Xenopus tropicalis: one gene and its partners. The protein of the gene in region 2 interacts with the protein of the main gene of each other region in a pairwise test. Links are inferred from orthologs where the notes say so. Each region holds a gene or a part of one and is shown on either strand. Other genes may lie near its edges.

Region 1 (4,143 bases), on a different chromosome or scaffold from region 2:
CAGTGACTTATAATATCCCTTTACAATAAGGGGTATTTTTTCTCAATATAAATTAAGTAGGTGAAGGTGAAAAATAATAACCTTAAAAAAATTCACAATTTTTACAGCAGGTGCTGCTCCTAGACACCTTTGTTACGTAAAAATTTTTCAGCTGGGGGAGAGAAGTCCCAGCCAATAAGGCCAGTGCATTGGGGTTATTTGCAAAGGTGATGATAAGAAGGAAACACACAGAAATTACAGGAGAGTTGTGAGTTAGGTTCTAGCACTGCATGGGCTACAGTTCCTGTCAGGTCCAATAGTAGCATAGAGTAGTGAGGGTCAGTATCTGGGTGTTAAGGGGTCAATATAATAAAAGGTGCGAAATTTGCTTTAGGTTAGTGACCCACTGCAACCAATCAGCAGATAGAATTTACTGGTCAGCTATATAAAATCAAGAATCCGACTGGTTGCTATGGGTTAATTGACCCAGATGAACTTTGCATCCTTTATTACATTACCCAATGTATACCAATTCCATTATATACTGCATGCATGTAATATTAATATATTGACTCTAGTGACTAAGGCTGATGTTCCACTGAGCGGTTTAGTCACCTGCAATAGATCTCTGCTATCGCAGGCAACTAACTGTTCCAAAATGCATTTCCACTGGCAACAATAGGAGTTGCTTGTGAAAAGCCCTTCACATGGCTTTGGTATTCCAAAGTCATACAAAGTTTCCTCCAGCAGGCATCTTTGTGTGACTTATGAAAACTGAAGCAATGCAAGCAATGGCTTTCTACCGGCGTGGCTGGTGGATAGGCATTTCGTAGAGGGCAGTCACCCGCGATAACACAGATCTATTGTGGGCGACTAAACCACTCCGTGGGACATAAGCCTTTCCCTTTACCTGAAAAGAAACGTGTCAGCCAACCAATGACATAGCACCTACGTTTACAAGAAAAATGCATTCCCCAACAATGCAATTTTTTTACAAACAGCCCATAACCTGGACAACAGGGAAAGAGCTAAATTGATATCCTAGACCAGTGTTAATACAAAATGGTAAAAATCTGTTGATACAAAAGCAAGAAAATTTTACTCATTTCCAGTAAAGCAGCTACTATGTTACCTAATGGGCTAATTATAACCATAAGTTGTACCATTCCTTGGGTCTATGAAAAGCAAAATGCGTGTTTAGGCAAGCCAAAAGCTGCAGCCTGCAATAAAGCCGCGCAAAATGAAAGTGCAGGTAGGGGGCGCTGCTCAGCAGGAATGCGCTTTCGTATCTGCGTAGAGTGAAAAAACACAACAAGGAAGTAGATAGAAGCGGAAGTGGAATCATCTCCCACAACAACACAGAGAAAATACAGATCGAGCAAGAGACGTGAACCCGGGGCAATGAATAATAAAGGCAAGTAATGGCCCCTCCGGAGCTCAGCGGCAACTTCACTGTGCTTTGCGCTTGCTAGGGCTGTTTGTCCTGATCAGGATGCACCTTGGGATTGAGACTGCGACCTGGCGGAGCTGCTGCTGCTGCAAGGCGTTATGATGTCACTGATACCAGTGATTTGGGGCCCTGCTGGGACTTACTCTATAACCGAGTCCCTCTGCTTATTATTATTAGGAAGTATATGGTTTGGGTGGGTATATTCTAGGGGCGGGCTCTATTAGTCACTGAGCGAGTGAATATATATATATAAATATTAGGAATTCGGACGTATTATAGAATACGTTTATACCTTGGTAACCAGCTCCGGCTCCGTCCTGCTTGTGTGCGCACCGCTCTGACCGTGTAAGGCAGGGATTGTGTAACTCCTTGTGTATGTGCCTCGCTAAGGAACATCGGACGTGTCATTTGCCTTCCATTCCAGCGCTTTATAAAGGATTTAGTGGCAAATGGATCACTAAGTAGGCCAGTCGGCAACTATAGTACCATAGTTACATAGGGTTGAAAAAACACCAGAGTCCATCAAGTCCAACCCATCCAAGTAAATCCAGCACTTACAACCTATATTTACCAATCTATCATCAACCATGCCAGGCTTCAGGCTGATGGTATTTGTGCATGGCACTCTTGAATTAACAAGAACTCTGCTACTGAAGAGCAGTAATCCAGTAACAAAGTACATTTGTAGTAGAGTTTAGTACTGCACTGGAAACATTGTCTAATCAGACTTGGACTGGGATTTAAACCAGGCCCTGGCTTTTTAAATACACAGAGGCCCAAACAGCCCCCCTACACAACCCCCAATAAATAGTGCCTGTCTATATCAGTGATCCCCAGAGGCTCACATACAGCATGTTGCTCCCCATCCCCTTCCCTGTTGCTTCCAGTGGCATCAAAGCAGGTGCATATTTTTGGATTGAAGTCAAATTTGGATTGCATAAAAAAACAGAGCCTCCTGTAGGTTGCCAGTCCACATAGAGACTACCAAATAGCCATAGTGCTTGTGTTGCTCCCCTACTCTTTTTATATTTGAATGTGGCTCACTTTTAAAAAAGGCTGGGGACTCCTGGTCTATGGTATCTTACAGCAGCCCCTCTGGCATTTGCCAGAATCACAGATTGTCATTGTGGAACTGTGCCCAATTTAATGCTGCTGCACACCTGTGCATGGACAAATATCAGCCACTCCATATCGCTTCACTGCTTGGGGTGTTGAGCTTCCTTCTCCTTCAGAATAGCTTCATAAATATACATTTGATAAGGTGCAAAAACAATTTGCAGTTTTAACAAAGAGGAATTCCTCGCCCATTTTAGCAGCAAAAAGAGGAGATTGCATCAAATAAATTATTATATGGATGACTTTATGAAAGAATGTCATAATACTTGTTTAACTTTTTCATTGCAGAGGGGGTTGTTCTCTAATGATTCTCAAGGTCTTCCCAATGTTTCTGCCTATTCAGAGTGACATTCTTGAGAATCTCATACTTGAGACTTGAAGTTTTACAGTGCTTTTGATTTTATTGTTCTAGTCTAGAACCAAAAATGTTCTGCCTATTTTGAACTTGTTATGGGTAAAGAATAGTATTTTGTCTTTTTATCTTTGATTATTTCTGCTGAGCAAATTAGAGTGCTACTTTGTTCATAACTTTAGGTTAAAGAATAAGTAAACCTTTTTTTTCTATCAGTAAAATTACTCTAAACAGCCTCCAGAATTACCTACCTTTGTCCCAGCATTCTTTCTGACCTGGTTCCTCAGTTAGAAGTTGATAGTTTTTCTTTGCTTCCTTGTGCAGAGTAAAGCCCCGCCCCCACTTCCTGTTCAGTTCTCTCTTCAATTCGACTACCTGTAGTTGACCTGGAGAGCCTTCTGGGCATGCCTGGAGGCAGCAGTACGCATTCACGCTGCACTTCCGCATTCCCCGGTCATCGTCGATCACAGACGGAAAAGGTCTGGTCACCCATGAGCTAGCCATATTCTTAATGAGCTGCAAGTTGGAGTGATATCACCCCCCTCCCAGCAGCTGATCAGCAGAACAATGGGAAGGGAGCAAGATAGCAGCTCCCAGTTGGTATCAGAATAGCACTCAATAGTAAGAAATCCAAGTCCGGGTTGGGCCCCCTCCAGTTACATGGGAGTATGAGAAACAATAGGTTACCTGAAAGCAGTTCTAATGCGTAGCGCTGGCTCCTTCTGAAAGCTCAGACTGAGACACTATGCACTGAGATGGCGCCTACACACCAGAATTACAACTAAAAAAAATACATGTTGATCCAAGAATAAAATTTTAAATGGCAGAGTGAATTATTTGCTAAACAGTGTAATTTAGAAATAAAAAGTACACCACAAAATCTTTAAGCATGAAGTCTAGCATTCTTTAATGATGGCCTCTGAGTGACTGACCTGAAAAGTTCAAATAGTTACTCAGAGGCCAGAATATCATTGAAGGATTTTGGTAACCTTGGTAGGTAAGCAATACAACACAAACATATGCAGACTATAAAGACTATTGGATTCTCTGTGTTTCCTTTAGGCTGATTAAATATTGTTTTCCATCATCTCCCAAATCCCAAGTCAAATTGATTAGATGAGTCTGATTATAAGCCAAATTGAATTTTAATTGGTATATTAATATTTATCTCCAGTTTTCCCAAATTTTGCAGTTGTCAAAATTTCTGTTTGTGTGAAAACTAATTTTTTTCTGTTATGCAATCTTG
Region 2 (4,038 bases):
CTGGGAATCATTTATTAACACTGGGCAAATGGACAGTAACCCATGACAATTACATTTTTGCTTTCACTGTTCACTGTTTTGGCTGGCTAAATCAGTGATTGGTTGCTATGGACTACTGCCCACGTGCAAATTTGCCAAGTGTTGATAAATGAGCCCTATTATGTTTTGACCTTATTTAGTAACCCAAGGCTACCTGCTACTATCTAGCAGGGAAGATCTGTACCGCTGAAGATGCCTCCCATAGCTCCCCATCTTCTCTGCTGCTAATTCACAGCACATACTCTGGGGGGCTACTGTCATTTGCCTAAGCATAAGGACCCATTCACAATATACATTCTATACATTTAATATAAAAGTTACAATGAAAGTCTAATTAGTAATTAAATGAACTTCACATTAATTACACACAAGTTTAGAAACCAGTGCAACCTGAAACATCAGCTTCTGTAAAAGTTAAACTTAATTTTCTGTTTGATAATTTCAGGCAAAGCTTAATTTCTCAAAAACAGCCAAGAGCACACAGAGCAAGTGCAGTGTCACTGACACTAAACAGATGGCTTAACAAGGTCTAAGATGGTGAGCTGATCTGGAGTCCTGCATAATTCCTGTTGCCTCTGCTGTTACAACAAGTGCAGTATATAAAATACAGCATTTCAAGAGAAATTCGTTTTAGGCTAGGCGTCCTCCTTCAATGTAATACACAGCCTGGCTGAATTCTGATAAGATTGAAAAATGAAGTCTGATCTGCTGAGACTATACATTGGTGACCGTGGGAAGCTACAACCTTTGCACAGTTGCACACTATACTTCCTGTACAGGAGATTGCCTCAATGCTGTGTGAGTTGTTTCTATTATAGGTGCCATGGATCTACCACGTATTTCATTGACTAAACACTGGACAGCTATTATGGTATCTGCTAAGGTAAGGTTTAGATATCGCTCAGATTCTGCTTAATAACTCTTTAGTGCCCTCATCCTAATAACCTGCTTCCCCCAGTTTCAGTCTCTAGCTATTATTAATCAGGTCCTGGCTCGGGAAAGATGTTAACCAGATCCGGCAAGAGTGGAAATTTCCACATGTATAAAAGCCAAGAAACATTGTTATCAGCATAGTTCTGACCTACTGACAATCATCCAAACGTATCACAAAAAATACAATACAAGCCGACAAGTACAAATATATAACACAGACCTTAGACCGACAACCTTTGCCACTCCCCTTGCATAACCAGACAGCACCAACAAAACAAACACACAATGGCCCTTCCCCTTTAGCAGTGATAAAGCACGCAGCCATGTTTTTTTATAAGAAAAATACTTAAGTTGTGTACATAACCCATGCCAGTGCTTGTGTGAGCTGCAACACCCAAATCCTGGGCACACCACGGATCACTAGACAAAATTACTAACTCATCTATTAAGAAATGGTTAGAAAACTGTCTGTTATTCATTATTTAAACATTATATTCATATTGTTTTTCTAAATCAGTTTGTAGTACTAGTTATAGTACTAATATCTGCTAACAACCATCTTATATTTATTAAATGAGTCACCCATGTAGATCAATACACGAGGGTTAGGGCTACCAACAATCCAGTGAGGGCAATGTGGCTTGTGGGCTAGGTGCCTTATGCACAGATTGCCCTACCCACATTCACTGAACTTTCCTTATTATTTGGCCTCAGCGCTGTTTATTCTGCCCTAGGCAATAATATTATGCTGTGATTCACCCTGAAGCCATAACCACACTGAGATATAAACAGAATTAGTAGCTGTAGCACAAGTTTGTGTTGCTACCATCGACTGTACCCGAAGATCGTTCCTATTGTGGGTAGGCTGTGTGTGCGCTGAACAATTATTTGCACATACAAGTGTATAATGTACAGAATTTACCCCAGACACAGGCAACCTGTTGCAACTCACTACATTCTTCCAGCGTATGAGCTACAGAGGGGTGTAGTTCTGCAACACAGAGACTGGAGACTGGTTCTTACTATTATTACACATGATAAACTGGCAGTCATTCAGCATCCCCTGCTGGACATGGTATCTTCCAAGGAGATTATTTGCCCATTAGGGAGGTGGGTTTATCCTCATGCCAAGCCTCATATTACCTTGAAATTGGAAGCAAAGTGCAGGGGATATATATGCCAATATCTGCTGGCAAATATGAATGAAGGTCAGGTTTGAGGTCGGGTAATTATTAATTATATACCCATGTAACAATTATTTGATATAAGCAATTATTAGTATATAATGACTGAGCTTCCCACCTTTGTAGAACATCTGGAAGGCTCCCCCTTTGAGGCCCTGGAACACGCCAGTCACCTTGTTAGCTAGCAGCTCGCAGCTGGACACGGACGCCTTCTCTTTGCCGGCAGCCGGCAGCTCCAGCTGGAAGCGGCGGATCTCCCTGTGACTCTCATCCTTGCCCAGCAGATAGGCTTTCACGGTGACTGGCATGGTGGCACCTTGGGCACCGTATAGGCGGCGATGTCGCAGTTAGGAACAAAACAATGAGCAGAACGACTGCGCAGAAGTTTGTTATTCTGTGACTGACGGCTGAGAGCAGTCCCAGCTTTATTTATACAGCCAGCCTGGAAATCCCCACTCCTCCTTAGTCCACCCTCTACGTCCAATGTATTCCTATTAGTATCAGCCCTTTGGAACTTGCCAGACTCTTCCACTCTGCTAGCCACGCCCACCAACCTTGTGATGTCACCGTGACCTGGCAAAACAAAGGGGGAACTCCACACAGTGAGGGGACTAAAGACTACCAACTGCAGGGCAATATTACATAATAAATGACAGATTCACAGTCCTCTGAACAGTATAAAGTACAGTTTAACTGAAAAGTGTACAATAACCTCTTTTTGTGAATTTAAGGTTTTTATAAGTATAATTAAATATAATTTCTTACTCTATTCTCTGTTTATTCCACTTTTGGGATTGTAACTTCCTACACATAGGGGCACATTTACTAACCCAGGAACGCTCCAAAAGCGTTTTTTTTTCGTTATGATCAGTATTTTTGCGACTTTTTCTGCGCCATCACGACTTTTTCGTATATTCCATGACTTTTCGTCACATTACCGGAATGTTCTTTTGTGTGCAAGTGCACTGATCGAGCCCATGCAGATATGCACTGAAAGATCAAAGTCAGAAAGGTTTTCCCGGCGTTTACGATCGGTCAGTACGAAAAATTTGCAATGATGGCGACGAAAAAGTTCAGAAACTTTCGTTTCCAATCCGAATTTTTGCCGTTCGGGATTCAAATTCATGGAATAGTAAATGTGCCCCATAGTGTCTGTATCTTAATTATGGCGCCAGATGTTGAAAGACTGCAGCTCCCAGAGTGCTTTAAAACTAGACTATATGGTGAAGCGTGCAGGGAGTTATAGTCCAGCAATATATAGGAGCCCAAGCTTTGGAAACATCTAGAACAGTTGCAGATTGGGGTTGCCACCTTTGCTTTCCTATATTTTATTTTATCATTCTCCATTACAGATAACATCAAGCATAAGTTTTGCTGGACAGATGGCAACTCTATTCACAGATGGGTCACTTGCCCAGTTTGAGTTATGGTGAATTTTAACTCAAACATGACAGGAGAATGTAGGGCCAATGCCTTTAATGGTGAATATAATACAGTTGCAGCTTATGTTCCTAAGCAGACTGAGGCCTACTGTGTCGGACTGGCCCACCAGGATACCAGGAAAACTCCCGGTGGGCCGAGGGGTCAGTGGGCCCTTATTCTCCTGACCATTTGGCATACTTCAAGGTCATTTGCTATTTCTGAATGGGAAGAAAGAGGAGAAATAAATGGAAGGATAGATGTAAATAAAAGAGACTAGGAGAATAAAGAGGTTGGGTGAGGAAAGGAGGAAATATAGTTTGGAGAGTGGGCCTAGGGTCCAAGGTTTTCTGGTGGGCCCCTGGGGTCCCAGTCCAACACTGCCTACTGTAGCTGGAACAGCTGCTTACACATGAAATTGGATGGCAGGGCTAACATGGGCATTCAGAAGTTGAATCTGAAC
Region 3 (4,079 bases), about 120 Mb from region 2:
GTTCTGTAGAATACAATAGTGTTTTATCTGTTATCTGCTATGTGCCTGTGCCTTTTCTCCTTTGAACGGCTGCCTCCATGGCTACAGAGCAGCTTATTTATAGAAATTATAGTAGACTTTCTGAAGTAAACACACAACTTTTACCAGTGCAGGGCAGCAGCACATTATATTTTAGTTTACACTTTCATTTTTTGGTGTTACTGTTCCTTTAAAACATTTTCAATGAGGAAAGGAGAGAGAATCTTCCCCCCTATGTGGCATTACCTGGTGACGCCATCGGAAAAGACTGGCAGTGTCAATGTTGGGATGAGTGTCATCTTCGTCATCAGAAACTTCAATGTGGTCCCACACGCTATAATCCACCATTGTGTAGCAGAGATCAGACAAACAAGAGATTCACTGAAATGAAGGGCATAAAGAAAGACTTGTTTACAAGAATTCAAACATATAAAAGGTCTATATTACTACTTGCTACAGAAGCAGCTCCTGTGTGTCTAGAAAGCCTGATGTATCCATAAGGCCCTAAGCACGATCCTCTTATGTCTTAAGTGTTCATAATTATCTCCAAAATACCTCGACAGAGCCAATGCAATTCCAGCAGTTACTAGTACCTACTGTCATAACTGCTTCTGCCTCATCACTATCAAGGACTGAATCTAGGGCCAAACGGTAATGGAGCCTTTCTAATCTTTTTGTCTCTACAAAATGCATTGAAGGACTATCTGTCCTGTGTTGAATTTCCCCCACTAAAAGCTAATACAGAGGTCTTCAAGCTCCCCCTAACTGGACTTCAGGCTGGGCCCCCTTAGCTCATAACAAGGTTACAGATATATAGAAACATTGGGGTAACAGTCACCCTGCTATAGTTCCAGGGGTACCCAGGGCACAAATAAGCACTCACCCCAAATCTCCCCTAACTGGCCTTCAGGCTGGGCCCCCTTAGCCCATAACAAGGTTACAGATATATAGAAACACTGGGGTAACAGTCACCCTGCTATAGTTCCAGGGGTACCCAGGGCACAAATAAGCACTCACCCCAAATCCCCCCCCTAACTGGCCTTCAGGCTGGGCCCCCTTAGCCCATAACAAGGCTACAGATATATAGAAACATTGGGGTAACAGTCACCCTGCTATAGTTCCAGGGGTACCCAGGGCACAAATAAGCACTCACCCCAAATCCCCCCCTAACTGGCCTTCAGGCTGGGCCCCCTTAGCCCATAACAAGGTTACAGATATATAGAAACATTGGGGTAACAGTCACCCCGCTATAGTTCCAGGGGTACCCAGGGCACAAATAAGCACTCACCCAAATCCCCCCCTAACTGGCCTTCAGGCTGGGCCCCCTTAGCCATAACAAGGTTACAGATATATAGAAACATTGGGGTAACAGTCACCCTGCTATAGTTCCAGGGGTACCCAGGGCACAAATAAGCACTCACCCCAAATCCCCCCCTAACTGGCCTTCAGGCTGGGCCCCCTTAGCCCATAACAAGGTTACAGATATATAGAAACATTGGGGTAACAGTCACCCTGCTATAGTTCCAGGGGTACCCAGGGCACAAATAAGCACTCACCCCAAATCCCCCCCTAACTGGCCTTCAGGCTGGGCCCCCTTAGCCCATAACAAGGTTACAGATATATAGAAACATTGGGGTAACAGTCACCCTGCTATAGTTCCAGGGGTACCCAGGGCACAAATAAGCACTCACCCCAAATCCCCCCCTAACTGGCCTTCAGGCTGGGCCCCCTTAGCCCATAACAAGGTTACAGATATATAGAAATATTGGGGTAACAGTCACCCCACTATAGTTCCAGGGGTACCCAGGGCACAAATAAGCACTCACCCCAAATCCCCCCCTAACTGGCCTTCAGGCTGGGCCCCCTTAGCCCATAACAAGGTTACAGATATATAGAAACATTGGGGTAACAGTCACCCTGCTATAGTTCCAGGGGTACCCAGGGCACAAATAAGCACTCACCCCAAATCCCCCCTAACTGGCCTTCAGGCTGGGCCCCCTTAGCCCATAACAAGGTTACAGATATATAGAAACATTGGGTAACAGTCACCCTGCTATAGTTCCAGGGGTACCCAGGGCACAAATAAGCACTCACCCCAAATCCCCCCCTAACTGGCCTTCAGGCTGGGCCCCCTTAGCCCATAACAAGGTTACAGATATATAGAAACATTGGGGTAACAGTCACCCTGCTATAGTTCCAGGGGTACCCAGGGCACAAATAAGCACTCACCCCAAATCCCCCCCTAACTGGGGGATATATAAAGTTACTTTTCTGTTATGGTGAGTAAATTTCCTGGTATAATTTTGTCTCTACATCCTTCCTGGCAAATCAAAAAAACAACAGTAATGTAATATTTGATGGTTACCCCCCCCCCCCCCCAGATGTGACAGTGCGACCCCCCAACTCCTGCTTTACTTGCCACATGTCAGGGACTAGAATCAGAAACATGGCAGGGATATGGGGGGGGGGGGGGTAGATGAAAATAATATACTGTGCCCCAGCCATTAATGATGATAAAGCCTGGCTCCCAGATATTGTTAGACTACAACTCCCAGTATACTTTAAGTCTGGAGTATATGTTCAATAATTGTGAGAGTTGTAGTACAGCTACCCGGGCAAGAACAGCGCTCACTATACCAGGGAGTATTGCTTAATGCCTTAAACTGTTGCCCAAACAGCCTGTCCGTATAGGTAAATAGGATATAGCAGCACCGCAGGCAGGTATAAGAGAAATAGCCAGCTGTGGGAAGAAGCCATTACCTGGCACACCAGGGTGCAGCTGCAGGCCCCCTCGCAAGCTTCTGGAAAGCTCCTGCACTCTCTGCCTCAGCCTGCCCACTCCATGACATCACTTCCTTAACCTCGACGCGGCTGATTTGCCCTTACGCTAGAGTCTTCGGGCCGACTTCCTTTTTTGCCTATTCCATTCTCCTTGCGTCACTTCCGCCTTTGCTAGACAGGCAGGTTTGTTCTTGCTGCCGTAGGGAGTGGTTTGTGGAGGGGAATTGGAGATAGAAACGGCTTTATAGGATGGTATGCGAAGGGTTTTTCCACAATCAACATTATAGGCGGCCCAAGGGGGAGGAAAACATGAAACAACTGCTTATATTGTGAAAGGGGAACACCATCCGGAATCTGTTTTATTTTAACTTAATTCTAGGCAGCTTTCTGGTATACATACATTAAAAAGAAAAATAAATCATTTTGATATTTTGTGATTTTTGTTCAAAGCAGCGTCTGCCTGGCTGTTACTGTTGTTTGCGCTGCTGGTTCTGACTCCTGAAACAATGTAGCAAAACCAGAGAACAGAAAGGGATATACAAATACTGCTTGTCGTTACAATTGTAAATATAAATCACTTTGAAGCAATATATAATTGGTTTCCATTAGGTATTGGTTGAGGGTCAGTTACCAAATGTGCCTAATTGCCAGGCAAGCAGATCTGTGCTTTAAGGTGGCCATACACGTGCCGATTTTAGCGGCCGATATCGGTCCCTTAAGGTGTCCATACACGTGAAGATCCTACGGGTGGGTGATATCGGGGAACATGTAGGCAAATTTGATCGTTTGGCCCTGGGGCCAATCGAATTATAATGGCAATGGGGCAGTTGGTTCGGGGACTGCATCAACGAGCCGATGCGTTCCCCGATCCAACTAAATCTTTTAACCTGCCCGATCAATATGTGGCCAATGTGAGTCTAGATATCGGTCGGGCGTGCTCCTCGTTCCTGCCCCTACACGGGCCAATAAGCTTCCGAAACAGTCCAAGGGACCGATATTGGCAGCTACAATCGGCCCGTGTATGGGCACCTTTTGACCGATTCGGCAGCTTATTGGCCCGTGTAGGGGCACGAACGACGGGCCTGCATGACCGACATCTGGCCTGAAATCGGGCAGGTTAAAAAATTTTGACGGATCTGGGACCGCATCGGCTCGTTGATGCAGTCCCCAAAATGACTTGCCTATACCCGTCATTATAATTCCGTAGTTTGGCCCCAGGGCCAAATGACCAAATTAGCCTTCTTCAGGCATAAAAACAAGTGCATTGAACTTGATTAAAT
Region 4 (4,205 bases), on a different chromosome or scaffold from region 2:
TTAGAGAATGCAAAATAAGACAGTGGTGATCAGAACTAAGACCATAAGAATAACTAGGTGTTAAAACACAAATCACAAATGCACAAAATGAAATGGGCTTTTTGTGTGACAGATGCCATGTCTTTTTTGAAGTACAGGAGCAACATACCCCCTTGTTTAACATGAGTTCAATTAGTAGGGCTTGTGCTAGTTGTACTTTTTGCATATTGTTTTAAAAGACACCTCTCCTCCAACAGAAGAATCTTCAGAACAATTCTGTGAATTATTCCTCTGTCGTTGTAGCTTTCTTGAATAACAAAGGGGTTATGTACTGTACCACACACACAATACATTGTGTAAAGTGCAAAAAGGCATTAAGTGTCGCACTCTTGCACATGTAACCTGGGGATTAGAAAATGAGCACTTAAATTAGCTTGGAAGCCTTGCTGTGTTGGAAAAATAGATTGATTCTCTACTGGGTACCATTTGGTTGTAGTTTCCCAAGGGATTTATTTGTTTTCCTGGTTTCTTACTACTATATATATATATATATATATATATATATATATAATATGTAAATAAGGGATGATAATAATAGTACTCCTGTTTTTTAGGAATGAAACTGGTTGCTGATCTTATAGCATTTCATAGCAGTGCATGGATAATGGTCAGAATGAATTATTGTGGATAAGGTTGATAATAAGATGTTATCATTACCAGTAACCAGAATGGGTCTGCAAAATGTAATTATCTAAAGGTTCCACATTCTTTAGTTACAGTTATGAATTGGAGTATTTAGGGCATAATTACATTGTCCTTCCACTGACCAATTCCCTGGGTTGAAAGGAACCATCTACATAATATAGTAAATACTAGAATTCAGTTTTGGTAAGGCTTTGTAATATTTTAGCTGTTTAGTGTTATTCTTCTCTTCTTACTGTCATTAGTAATTGGAGAGAGCGCTTAAATGCTTGCCTGTTACATATCTGCTATCACCTTAGTGACTGCAAGCTTGTTGTAAGAAATATTTATTGTGGCAAGTGCAGATATTTAGCAATAAATAATTCAGCACAGCAGGCATACAGCAGCTGCTAGGGTAAGGTAGCAGATCATTTGCATGTCTGTAGTAGACGATATTACTCTTTTTTGTTGGTGGTGTTTTGTGGGCAGATTTGATTGTTGCTTTCCAGCACCTACATTACAAATGAAGGTGACGGGAACAATAATTTTCCGATGCAAGGCAGACCTCTTAATCTCAAATATTTCTGTTGATAATGGTTCTCATTGTTTGCTCGAGCAGCAGTCGGATTACAAGTGGTCCAGCTTGGGGAGGCTGGCTACGATTATTCAATTTTCACACTGACAAATCAGGCATGTGGAAAGGAAAGACGGGAGGAGGGAGGTGTGGAGGGTGTAGGGGAAGGGAAGAAAAATACGGAGGACATAGGTTGCTCCTACTGAGTAAAAGTATTAATCTCTTATTTTTTACCCCTTCTAAAATTCCTTCTGTTTATGAAGAGCTGATAGGTGTGGTTTCTCTGGTACCTGCTTTGAATGCTTTGATTCCATCAGGTTGTTACATATGCACATACCTCTCAGGGGATTTATTTGGCAGTTATGTACTGAAGAAGAGACTTGATTCCTTTTTTATTGTTTATACACGCACAGATATCATTCCTGTTGGACTAATTTTGGGGAGCAAAGGTTAATGTAAGTATTGCATTTACATCTATATAACATGCCATGTAGGATATTAAGTGTATTTATTCTGCTCACTATGAGCTTTTTTAAATGTTCTATCTGGCATTTTCACCCAGACCTAGTTTAAGCAGCTGACAGTTGCTCACGGGATAGCTTGTCACCTGTGTCCTTAATGCAACGGAGAATGATGCACATGGTTGTTTGTCTTATATAAGGAGAATAGGAAGTATGAAGGTTTCTGTGGGTTAAATGCTCAATTTTATCTTTAATCTTTTTGCCTGTGTGAAGTACGGTATATTGTGTCTGTTTCTCTCCCATTCCCTTTCTCTGACTCTCCCTCAACCACCCCCACACAAACTCTCTCACACATACACAGCACCACTCTTGCATACAAACACACTCAAATATTCATTCTTGCACACACACTCATACATATCTGTATAAAGAGAGACTCTCACAATCACAGACATACATACACTTTGATCTTCATCACCTATCAAACATCTTAAATAATTAGGTACATTTTAACAACAGGGATTATCTTTTTTCCTTAAGAATAAAGTTTTTGTTGGATTAAAAATAATTATTGTAAAGCTTTTTCATCCTGACAACAGCTATTGCATTATTATTTACAATATTTTGGTAAGTTACAGACCTTTGTAAAATACTACCATCATAGACCGACTCGTCCTGTTGAAATACTCTGTTGCATGTTGTAATGTAGTAAAGAAGTATTAGACAAATGGCGTTTCATGTTTCAGAAATCCATTTTTGGCAATATAATACATATATATAGCATATCTTGCTGATTGGACTGATTAAGGATAGACAAGGGTTGCACCGAGAGATTGTTTTTTAAATCCTATACTAATCAGTTACAGATATTTTATTTTGTAGATGCTGTTCAAATGTAATGAGTTACACTATAATCAAATGACCTGTCCTAATGTGTTTGTATGCATTTGTCTTTTGCAGAGCCACTAGAATAAATTTATTAGCTATGGATGTATTCATGAAAGGGCTTTCTAAAGCTAAAGAGGGTGTTGTGGCAGCTGCAGAAAAAACCAAACAGGGAGTGGCAGAAGCAGCAGGAAAGACAAAAGAGGGTGTTCTCTACGTAGGTAGGTAAAAAACTAATCAATATAATGTCATCTGTTCAATTACAATCCTTATCTCCATTTTTCATCACCCTGCAAAAAACACAATAGGATCTATCATTTGTCTTCCGTGTCCTTGGAATACAAATGCAAATACCCTTTAACATTTGTTTATTGTGTAGAAGTTTGTAGCAGTAGTTGTCCATGGCAGAATGGATCTGTAACCCCTGGAGATCACAGAGGATCTCCTTGGTGGTAAATCCCATACATGTCTGTTTTAGAAGCAATAGCCCACTGTACAGTTTTGTAAGCCACAAGACAGACCACTACAGAAACTGTAGGCTTGATAATAGATTGCCCAGTTCTAATCACATTGTAGCCTGTTACACATATTCTTTACATTATGATTTTACAAAGTGTTGTTTCTTTTGAAGGTATATTGCAAATCTAATTTACACAATACAAATAAATAATGACTAAATTTAAATGCTACTCTTTATAATGACAATTAAAAAATTAGGGAGAGGGATAGAAAGAACATAGTTCAATATATTCTACAGATCTGTAAAATAGAAGGGTGAACACATCAATATAGTTCTCCAAGTGCTCAGGCAAAGGAAAGAGGCATAGGAACCAGACCAGAAAGGTCAACTAGGGAAGATTATGGGACACACTGCCCCCTGAAACCTACAAAAGACCTGAGTTGTGGTCCAGTACACTACATTTTAATAATAACACAAAACTAAATGTCCTTAGTTCTCTTGTGTAAACCCTACATGTTCCTATTATGTATATAATTTGGGTACATCTCCCTCACTCAGACAGCATCATTTGTACTGCATATATCCCCAAAGTTCACCAGCACCATATTATTTTCCTAAAACAGATAGTAGCTTTCACCCACCCGCCATTATTAGTGATGTATTTGCAAACAGCAACTTTATGCTGTAAAATTCATGCAACTGAGACTGCAGGCTTACACAGGCAAAACTTACTTTGATAAACATTTTTGGTTGGTTTGAGCACTCTAATGTTTAATCTGAGCTCAGAAGACATGGCTAGGAGAAAAATAGAAGCAGACAGCTAGAGCAGAGCTTCTATGGGAACCAGCAATGCCATCTCCTAATTGTCTGCTAGACTGGAGAGTCTAGTAATCTGAGTTGAGAAGAACTGAGCATGCCCAGTAGCCAACAGTCAAAGCATATTCCTGAGGAAGGGGGCTGAGTGGGTTACAGAAGAAGAAGGAATCCTAAGTGATTAACGGGATGCTGCAGCCTTACTATTAACCTTTTAACAACAAGAGTGACATGTAGTTAAATATTTCAAAGAGGCTGCTTACTTATTACATGTTTGTGGGGGGTTCACGTGTCCTTTAAAATTAAAATATGTACATAGAATAAAGTTTGCACAGTGCACATATTTATAGTC

The links.
Region 1: the proteins of sqstm1 (region 2) and dazap2 interact in binary tests that used the Homo sapiens proteins (3 or more experiments, as listed by UniProt). The link is inferred for Xenopus tropicalis from reciprocal best matches to the Homo sapiens genes SQSTM1 and DAZAP2.
Region 3: the proteins of sqstm1 (region 2) and cdc37 interact in binary tests that used the Homo sapiens proteins (3 or more experiments, as listed by UniProt). The link is inferred for Xenopus tropicalis from reciprocal best matches to the Homo sapiens genes SQSTM1 and CDC37.
Region 4: the proteins of sqstm1 (region 2) and snca interact in binary tests that used the Homo sapiens proteins (3 or more experiments, as listed by UniProt). The link is inferred for Xenopus tropicalis from reciprocal best matches to the Homo sapiens genes SQSTM1 and SNCA.

What each region holds. Positions count from the first base shown.
Region 1 is NC_030678.2:142,300,702-142,304,844, forward strand, and holds the start of dazap2 (DAZ-associated protein 2), read left to right. Parts: upstream 1-1,343; 5' UTR 1,344-1,380; coding exon 1,381-1,393; intron 1,394-4,143. UniProt on the Homo sapiens protein: In unstressed cells, promotes SIAH1-mediated polyubiquitination and degradation of the serine/threonine-protein kinase HIPK2, probably by acting as a loading factor that potentiates complex formation between HIPK2 and ubiquitin ligase SIAH1.
Region 2 is NC_030679.2:22,202,840-22,206,877, forward strand, and holds the start of sqstm1 (sequestosome-1), read right to left. Parts: upstream 2,801-4,038; 5' UTR 2,465-2,800; coding exon 2,275-2,464; intron 923-2,274; exon of another isoform or gene 485-922; intron 1-484. UniProt on the Homo sapiens protein: Molecular adapter required for selective macroautophagy (aggrephagy) by acting as a bridge between polyubiquitinated proteins and autophagosomes.
Region 3 is NC_030679.2:137,667,132-137,671,210, forward strand, and holds the start of cdc37 (hsp90 co-chaperone Cdc37), read right to left. Parts: upstream 2,801-4,079; 5' UTR 2,779-2,800; intron 400-2,778; 5' UTR 367-399; coding exon 265-366; intron 1-264. UniProt on the Homo sapiens protein: Co-chaperone that binds to numerous kinases and promotes their interaction with the Hsp90 complex, resulting in stabilization and promotion of their activity. Inhibits HSP90AA1 ATPase activity.
Region 4 is NC_030677.2:78,431,466-78,435,670, forward strand, and holds the start of snca (alpha-synuclein), read left to right. Parts: upstream 1-1,405; 5' UTR 1,406-1,689; intron 1,690-2,091; exon of another isoform or gene 2,092-2,197; intron 2,198-2,237; exon of another isoform or gene 2,238-2,322; intron 2,323-2,655; 5' UTR 2,656-2,680; coding exon 2,681-2,801; intron 2,802-4,205. UniProt on the Homo sapiens protein: Neuronal protein that plays several roles in synaptic activity such as regulation of synaptic vesicle trafficking and subsequent neurotransmitter release.